Linked DNA regions of Solanum lycopersicum. The protein of the gene in region 1 binds, or shares a complex with, the protein of each later gene. Links are inferred from orthologs where the notes say so. Each region holds a gene or a part of one and is shown in the gene's direction. Other genes may lie near its edges.

The links.
Region 2: NAD(P)H-quinone oxidoreductase subunit T, chloroplastic (region 1) and photosynthetic NDH subunit of subcomplex B 4, chloroplastic share a complex: the UniProt entries of both Arabidopsis thaliana proteins name them as parts of the chloroplast NDH complex. The link is inferred for Solanum lycopersicum from reciprocal best matches to the Arabidopsis thaliana genes NdhT and PnsB4.

What each region holds. Positions count from the first base shown.
Region 1 is NC_090808.1:63,749,717-63,753,284, forward strand, and holds NAD(P)H-quinone oxidoreductase subunit T, chloroplastic, read left to right. Parts: upstream 1-1,324; 5' UTR 1,325-1,701; coding exon 1,702-2,093; intron 2,094-2,179; coding exon 2,180-2,600; 3' UTR 2,601-2,803; downstream 2,804-3,568. Other genes in the region: monothiol glutaredoxin-S2-like, read left to right, coding at 369-677; uncharacterized protein, read right to left, coding at 2,804-2,996. UniProt on the Arabidopsis thaliana protein: NDH shuttles electrons from NAD(P)H:plastoquinone, via FMN and iron-sulfur (Fe-S) centers, to quinones in the photosynthetic chain and possibly in a chloroplast respiratory chain.
Region 2 is NC_090811.1:46,151,157-46,154,999, reverse strand, and holds photosynthetic NDH subunit of subcomplex B 4, chloroplastic, read left to right. Parts: upstream 1-1,266; 5' UTR 1,267-1,481; coding exon 1,482-1,553; intron 1,554-1,635; coding exon 1,636-1,692; intron 1,693-1,772; coding exon 1,773-1,908; intron 1,909-1,986; coding exon 1,987-2,042; intron 2,043-2,112; coding exon 2,113-2,184; intron 2,185-2,761; coding exon 2,762-2,890; 3' UTR 2,891-3,011; downstream 3,012-3,843. UniProt on the Arabidopsis thaliana protein: NDH shuttles electrons from NAD(P)H:plastoquinone, via FMN and iron-sulfur (Fe-S) centers, to quinones in the photosynthetic chain and possibly in a chloroplast respiratory chain.

The sequences.
Region 1 (3,568 bases):
AAGAATTTATATTGGAACTTAATTGGAAAAAAAATATGTAGATATGTAACAAAGTTCACTTACTAGCCTCCATACTTTATGGTGGATTTTTTTTTTATATATATATTTTTGGTACACTTTTAAGACAGTATCAAGAACTTCTAATGCTATCTAACAGTATCAACTCCTTATCTAAAAAATTATTCCTTCCTTTAATTTATTTGGGTGGGGGGGGGGGGGGGGGGGGGGGTTTAGAGGAAGCATATTGAATCTTCACAAGTCACTATTAGTATATAAATAGCTTCAATAAGAGTTTCAAATTCATCATCAATTCAACAAGTTATCAATTCTCTTATATTACATTAATCTTTTTTTTTCATTAATTAAAAATGGAGTCATTGAAAAAAATGGTAGCTGAAAAGCCAGTGGTTATGTTTAGCAAAAGCAAGTGTTGTATGTGTCACACTATAAAGACACTTATATCAAGTTTTGGTGCTAATTTAACTGTATATGAATTGGATGAACTTCCCAATGGGCTACAAGTGGAGCGAGCTCTGCTGATGCTAGGCCGAAGGCCTAGCGTGCCAGCAGTGTTTATTGGACAAGAATTAATTGGCGGTGCCAATGAGATTATGAGTCTTCATCTAGAGGGAAATCTTGTTCCTCTACTCATGAAAGCTAAAGCTCTTTGGCTATAGTGTGTATATATATATATACACTTTTTTTTTTGCTTTACATATCTAGTATGCGAAATTTACTGGCATGATTAGTTCAGACTCACGCTAGTAAAACTACAATATATCATGTAGAAAGTGCATATTAACACCTTGTAAGTTTGGTTTTTCTTAATGTTTGTGGAATTGAGCATCTTTTATTTAGTATGCTCAATGAAAACTCTGTTTTCTCAAACAAGTGTCTTTTAATGTATCTTTAAGCATTGTAATAATAAATTATATACAATGCCATACTTCAACATGACTTGTCATTCTGTTTTAATTATTTTTGTTAGATGCTTGAGTATGAAGTTGTGTTTCCTCGAGATGTGAATCCAGGATTTAAAGTTTGTAAATTCGGAATCTATTCAAAAAAGTAAAATATGTGATATTTGTATAATGATCCTGCCTTGTGAATTGAAAGCAAGATAGATTTAAAAAGGGTTAAAAGAACAACTTGGCTCTCTTTTATTTGCCACAAAAAAGAAAATAAATTACATTGACCTCCACTTCAACAATTCAAAAAACAAGTTACGAGTTAGCTCATCCTATAAAATTAGTTTAAATATATGTCAGCTAACTTGAATATCATGATAATTATATAAAAAGGAAAATATAGAGACAAGGGGTGTGTTGCGTTCCGAACACTAACTCACAAACTCATTCTTTTTGCCACCCAACTCCCAAGGAGTATGATTGTATTTATAGGTGGCAATGAGCGGGTAAGACTGAATTTGTTCGGGTTAAAAATGAGCTGAGTTAATAAATAGACAGGTCATTGATCCGCCCAAAAGTTACTTGGACTGAAATGGACTAAAACGTGGATCATAACTCAACCTGTCCAACTTACTTTTATAATTTTTTTAGTACCTTAAAGAATGTATATAAATTGTCTTGAAGTTAAAGAGTACAAACGTCAAAAATCAAAATTATTGATATTTCACAAATGTAGACAAAAAAGCAAACAAAATGTTTAGTTATTTCCTCAACCACACAGAAAGACAAGGTGATGAGAAAGCCCCTCCCTCTAAGACTACTCAAATCAGACACAAAACAAATTTCCAATTCCATGGCGTCAGCAACAGCTCCACCAGCTCCATTCACCTTTCTTACAAGGAACCAAACCAATAATGAGCACAGAACAGATACCAGATGGTTGACAACAAAACAAAGAAGACGCCGTGTTGGCTTACAAGTTTATGCAAAAGAAGAAGGGGCTACTGGGCGACAACGTGCTCCTCCTGGTGTTGACACAAGAATTCACTGGGAAAACGAAGATGAAGGATGGGTAGGAGAGAGTAAGTCACGGTCCACACAAGAACGAATCAAAACAGACGAAAAGAATCTCTTTGATGAAAAATTCTCAGACCTCCTCAACAGTTCAGCTAATTCTCACTACCAGTTAGTCTTCATTATCTACTTTGCTATCTTCATCTTATCTCTTAATGTGTGGCTCACAGTTCATAATTCTAATGTTTCAAATTCAGGTTCTTGGGAGTATCTGCAACAGCTGATCTAGAGGAAATTAAAGCTGCATATAGGAGGCTATCAAAGGAGTATCATCCAGACACAACTAATCTTCCTATAAGAGCAGCATCAGAGAAATTTATGAAACTAAGAGAAATTTATGATGTCCTGAGTGATGAGGAACAACGGCGATTCTATGATTGGACACTAGCTCAGGAGACAGCAAGTCGAGAAGCAGAGAAAATGAAAATGAGGCTGCAAGATCCACGCATGCTGGAAGTAGAAAACTGGGAATCTGTTCCAGACATGGTGGATCGACTTGGTGGAAGGAACATGGAGCTGAGTAATCAGGCAAAAACTGCCCTCACATTTGATATCTTGATTATCATCTTTTCGTTTTGCTGCATTATATATGCAGTAGTCTTCAAGGAACAATATTAACAGGAACAACTATGTGCATTATACAACAACAATATTCTATACTGTCAATACGCAGTTCATACACTGCAATGACAATGGATTGGGAAACAGAACGACTAGAGCTTTAGTCATAAGTATAACTATAGTTTATTTCTATTGAGATTACAAATTTACACTATTGTCTTTTCATGAGATTATTGACAGCAAATGAAGAAACAATTCTCTCATACATCAATAAAATCTTTCATGATGGGGCTATGTTTCTCAATGTTAGCCTGCCTACGCCAATTACTCACTGCATGCTTAACGGTGTCACTGGCTTTCTGTATTTCCTCAGCAGAAAATTTGTGTTCCACAATGCCTAGTGGACCAGGTTGTAGTACCTTAACTACAGTTTCCATATCCAGCTCCAGTTGCCTGTTAAAACAAACACCAAAATAATGCTGAAAGACATGGAAATTCATATTCACAATTTGATCTTTGTGTCTCATTCTGGTCTAAAAGAGAATATTAGGAAAATCCAATTGAAGAGTGCTTTGAAGCGCACGTTCCTATCAATCTGCATTTAGATACCTACTCTTCAATCAATAAATAATAACAAAGAACAAGAAAACACCAACGGTCATGCTAATTGCTAAATAGAAACAAGAGTTTCTCGTTTCTTGATAACACAACTCCGTAATTCTCAAGAGTTTGATAACAACTCCGTAATTCTCAAGAGTTTGATAAGTTCTAAAATTTCACTTACTCTTCAAATATCAAATGAATTAACTAATGTAATCCTACAACAGAAGTTGGCACCTTCTCTCAACCAAAAAGGAAAAGAATACTTCTATGTTATAATAGTATTAAACTGCCATACACATTGTTTTCTGTAAGATATAGAACTCCCAACACTTGGACCTTTTTCCTCATAAATGTGGTTCTGGTCCAAGCTTGTGCCACACTGACTAATTCCACTGGGTACCAGCTACTTCTCACCAGTGCAG
Region 2 (3,843 bases), on another chromosome or scaffold:
ATTTTTACGAAACAACGCCAGTGTTAGAATTCACAGACACCATACCAGCAGAATGAGGAGTATGATCGCCGAGCCATGGGAAAACGAGTCGAGAATCAGGTGAAGCACCAAGAAACTTTGGCAATGGTGAAGGCTCATAACGCCTGCTGCTACTACTGGAACGACTATCACGATGAAGGGTATCTTGCCACGCCCATCTACCATCATCCCGTTTCGATCTTCCTTGAAAGATAACACAATTTGCCAGATCAATTCAAATGCTTAAGAAATGTCACAAAATTAAAATGGTATTGAACTAGCTGAATTTTCCTAAGATTAAACCATTGAACTAGCTGAATTAAATCAAACAGTAATGGCATTACTGTTTGATTTAATTCAGCTAGTTCAATGGTTTAATCTTAGGAAAATGTTTTAAGAATTAAGGTGAAGAGTGAGTAGAATAAGAGGAAAGATAATGAAAGATAGAGATGGATGTTAAGCAATTAGGAGACTTTAGTTAGTGATAATACTTTTTATTTATAAGTTGCTCTGGTTTCTTGATCTGCAAAGAAAAAAGAGGAAGGTGATGTGTGTGTGTTGAAAAAAAAAAAGTGGGGGTGAGGGGGGGGGGGGGAGTGATGGATTTTATTATCCTTTTGAAGTTCTTCAGGGCAAGAAATCGAAGAAGAAGCTGGAAATTTCTTCATGAAGAAGAAAAGACAATGGAGTCATGAAAATTGTGAAAATGGGAGGAATAAGGTTTTAGCATATTTTAATTAGATGGTTATTTTTAAAATTGGGTCAAGTGGGCGGATTTAGTTAAAATAGGTGGGTTTAAAATTATTTTAAATAATTAAATTACAATCAATGGTTGAGTGCCACGTAATTAAAAATTATTATTTAATTATTTTTAATTTTGGTTTGTTAATGAATGGGTAAATTTAGACCCAAGGGTGGGTGTGAAGGGTATTTGGGGGCCAATAGATGGATGGAGGGTAATTGTGTACCATTTTCAATATTTCGAAGGTATTTTAGACCCTTTTCTATATTTTTAATTCTTTTTAGTTATAATTTTATGTTAACATTAGTAATGAAAATACATTTTTTATGTATTACTTATTTATATTTTAGTTATATCTTCTATGATACATAAAATAATATATAATTTTTTGTAATTTACACCTACATTAATTATAAATGTTTCTAATAAGTTTTATGCTAAATAAGTATTGAGTGTAGCAAATATCCCAATGATTTAAATTCCAATATCCAAGATGCGTATGATGTGTGGTAAAGGAAGAATAAGACAAAACCAAAATTGTTTGAGAAAATAATAGTTGTGAGTAAGCAGAAGAGTGTGTTTTTCTTATGTGTTTTCTTAACCTTATAACTCGGATAAAGGGAATAGATGAACCGTGTGTTTTTCTTATGTGTTTTCCTAACCTTATAACTCGGATAAAAGGAATAGAGGAACCCAAAAATAACTATCCCAAACTCAAATCATGAGCTTCACATTCATCAAACCCTCTATTCCTAGTCCTACATCGGAATTGCTGCACCCTTTCAGTAAATCAGTTAAAACCATTACTTGTATCTCAAATTCAATCTTTTTATAATTAATTCTGCTTAACTAATTACCTCTTTTCACTTTCTCAGCAGCTAAGGCATTGTCCAACCTCACCTTTTGGAAATAATGCAGGCAGGAGGCACCAGGTAGGTTTTACATGTTATTATTGATTTGAACAAGTATGGTTTGCAAAAGCATAATTAATGCTGTGGATTTCTATGATTAGATTGAAAGAAATAGGGTGAAGGCACTCCCAGATTGGCCATTAATGGCAGTATTAGTTGAGCATATGGAAGGTCAAAGAGACCTCATAACTCATAAATCTGTTTGGCATCTTAGTGATGAAGCCATGAAGAATGTCTGTGAGTAATCATTACTTACTAATTCATTTTTATCATTCTAATTCAAAATTCTCACACCTAATTTTTTCTCCATTGTAGATACATTTTACATCATGTTCACTGTTTGGGGATGCTGTTTCTTCGGTTCTACCAAAGTAAAATTTTTGAAATTAAACTTCATAAAATTGAGTTGTATCTCATTATTATGTGTCTTTTTTCTTTTAGGATCCTTACTATGATTCAGAACAATACAGAGGAGATGGAGGTGATGGTACTGGACATTGGGTCTATGAGAAGGTACAGTTTTTCTTTTCCGTTTTCTATCAAGGTTAGAAAATCAAAAGGGAAAAATACCCTTTCTTGTTCGCGACAGAGAAATGTTTATAGGTTTCAGTTAATATGTCGTTTGGTTGGGAACAAGTTATATTAGGATTAATTATACGAATTAATTATTTGATCATGTAAATGTGATAACTTATCATAAATAATCTCAGAACTGCTTAATACCTCCAACCAAACACACGGATAAAACATGGATTATCATAGTTTATACCTCACATGCGAGTTTTAGCTTTGACAGGTGAAAAAAAGGTTTTTAAAGAGTTAATTGTAGTCTAAATCCTGAATTCTTGATGTGAATGTTTTTTCCATTAAAAGAACATCTCTCGTTTCTAAAATAAAACTTTACTGAAATAATTTTATGCATATAAATGTCAAAATCATACTAGCTAGTTTCGAATTGTCTGAATTTGTTTCAACATGAATTTTGGCACCTAAATGTCCTATTCAAGATATATAGATATCTTTACAAGGTGGAATGCCATGATATTTGTGTAGTGAATGATACTACAAATCTGATTTTGTGATTGTGCAGCAAGAAGACATCGAAGAAGAAGCGAGAGCAGAGCTGTGGCGTGATGAACTGATAGAGGAGATTGAACAAAAGGTTGGGAGTCTTCGAGAGCTTGAAGAAGCTGGGAAGAAGGAACAGTTGGTCAAATGATCATCTTTATATGTGCTAAGAACAAATTTTATGATGCTTCCCAGTTATGTATATACAATATATGATTTCCAGTTCTATACAACATGGCTGTTTTGCCTTAATTCAGTGTTATGTTGCAAAACTCAGATTTCCCCTTCAAAATGTTGTCTTAATGAACTGTCACAATGTCAACATTTGCACTGTACAGAATCAGTTCTCTTTTTGTATTTGCTACTAGCAAGTCATGCAATGCTCTTTTAACAAGATTCATGGCATACACATCACGAAATCAAAAATTACTTCAATAATAGCCAAATTGTTAACCCTTTGGGTTGGATCAGTAGTTTGACCTTGGGACTTGCATGTTTGAAACCCCCTGCCAGCGAAAGCAAGAAGTTTGCCTTTTGGGTCGAACTCATTGCAGCAGGCTTGCAAGTAGTGAGCTATTGCATAAGAGCGAAAAAATTACCTTGTGCGCACCCAAAGAATAGTGACTGTGAAATCCCGTTGTCTTCAAAAATAAAATTAAAAAATAATAATAATGGCCAATATGTTCCCTCCCTGGTTGAGGAGATTGGAAAGAATTTTGGCTTAAAGCTACAAAAGATATCATCTCTGAATTTACATTCAAGACTGCATAGTTTTTTATTGACTGATAAACATTGTACAAGTGGCAATTTGTGTACAAAAAATAGTGATACGTAGGAACCATGTCTTTGATAGATCTCCAGAAAGAATTGAAGATGTTGTTAAAACATTACAGGGAAAACTGATAAAGAGAACCTGCTCCTTTGATAAAACTGAGAGATAATAATCACTCAATTTTGAATAACTCACTTACAAATTTACTCAATTTAAAATGATTTACATAGAAAATCACTCAACTTTATTTGATAACTCAAAAGTTACTAAATTTAATAAAATAATTAAGAAGTCACTCAAGAAGAGTGTTGGAATCGAAGACGAGAGGTAAT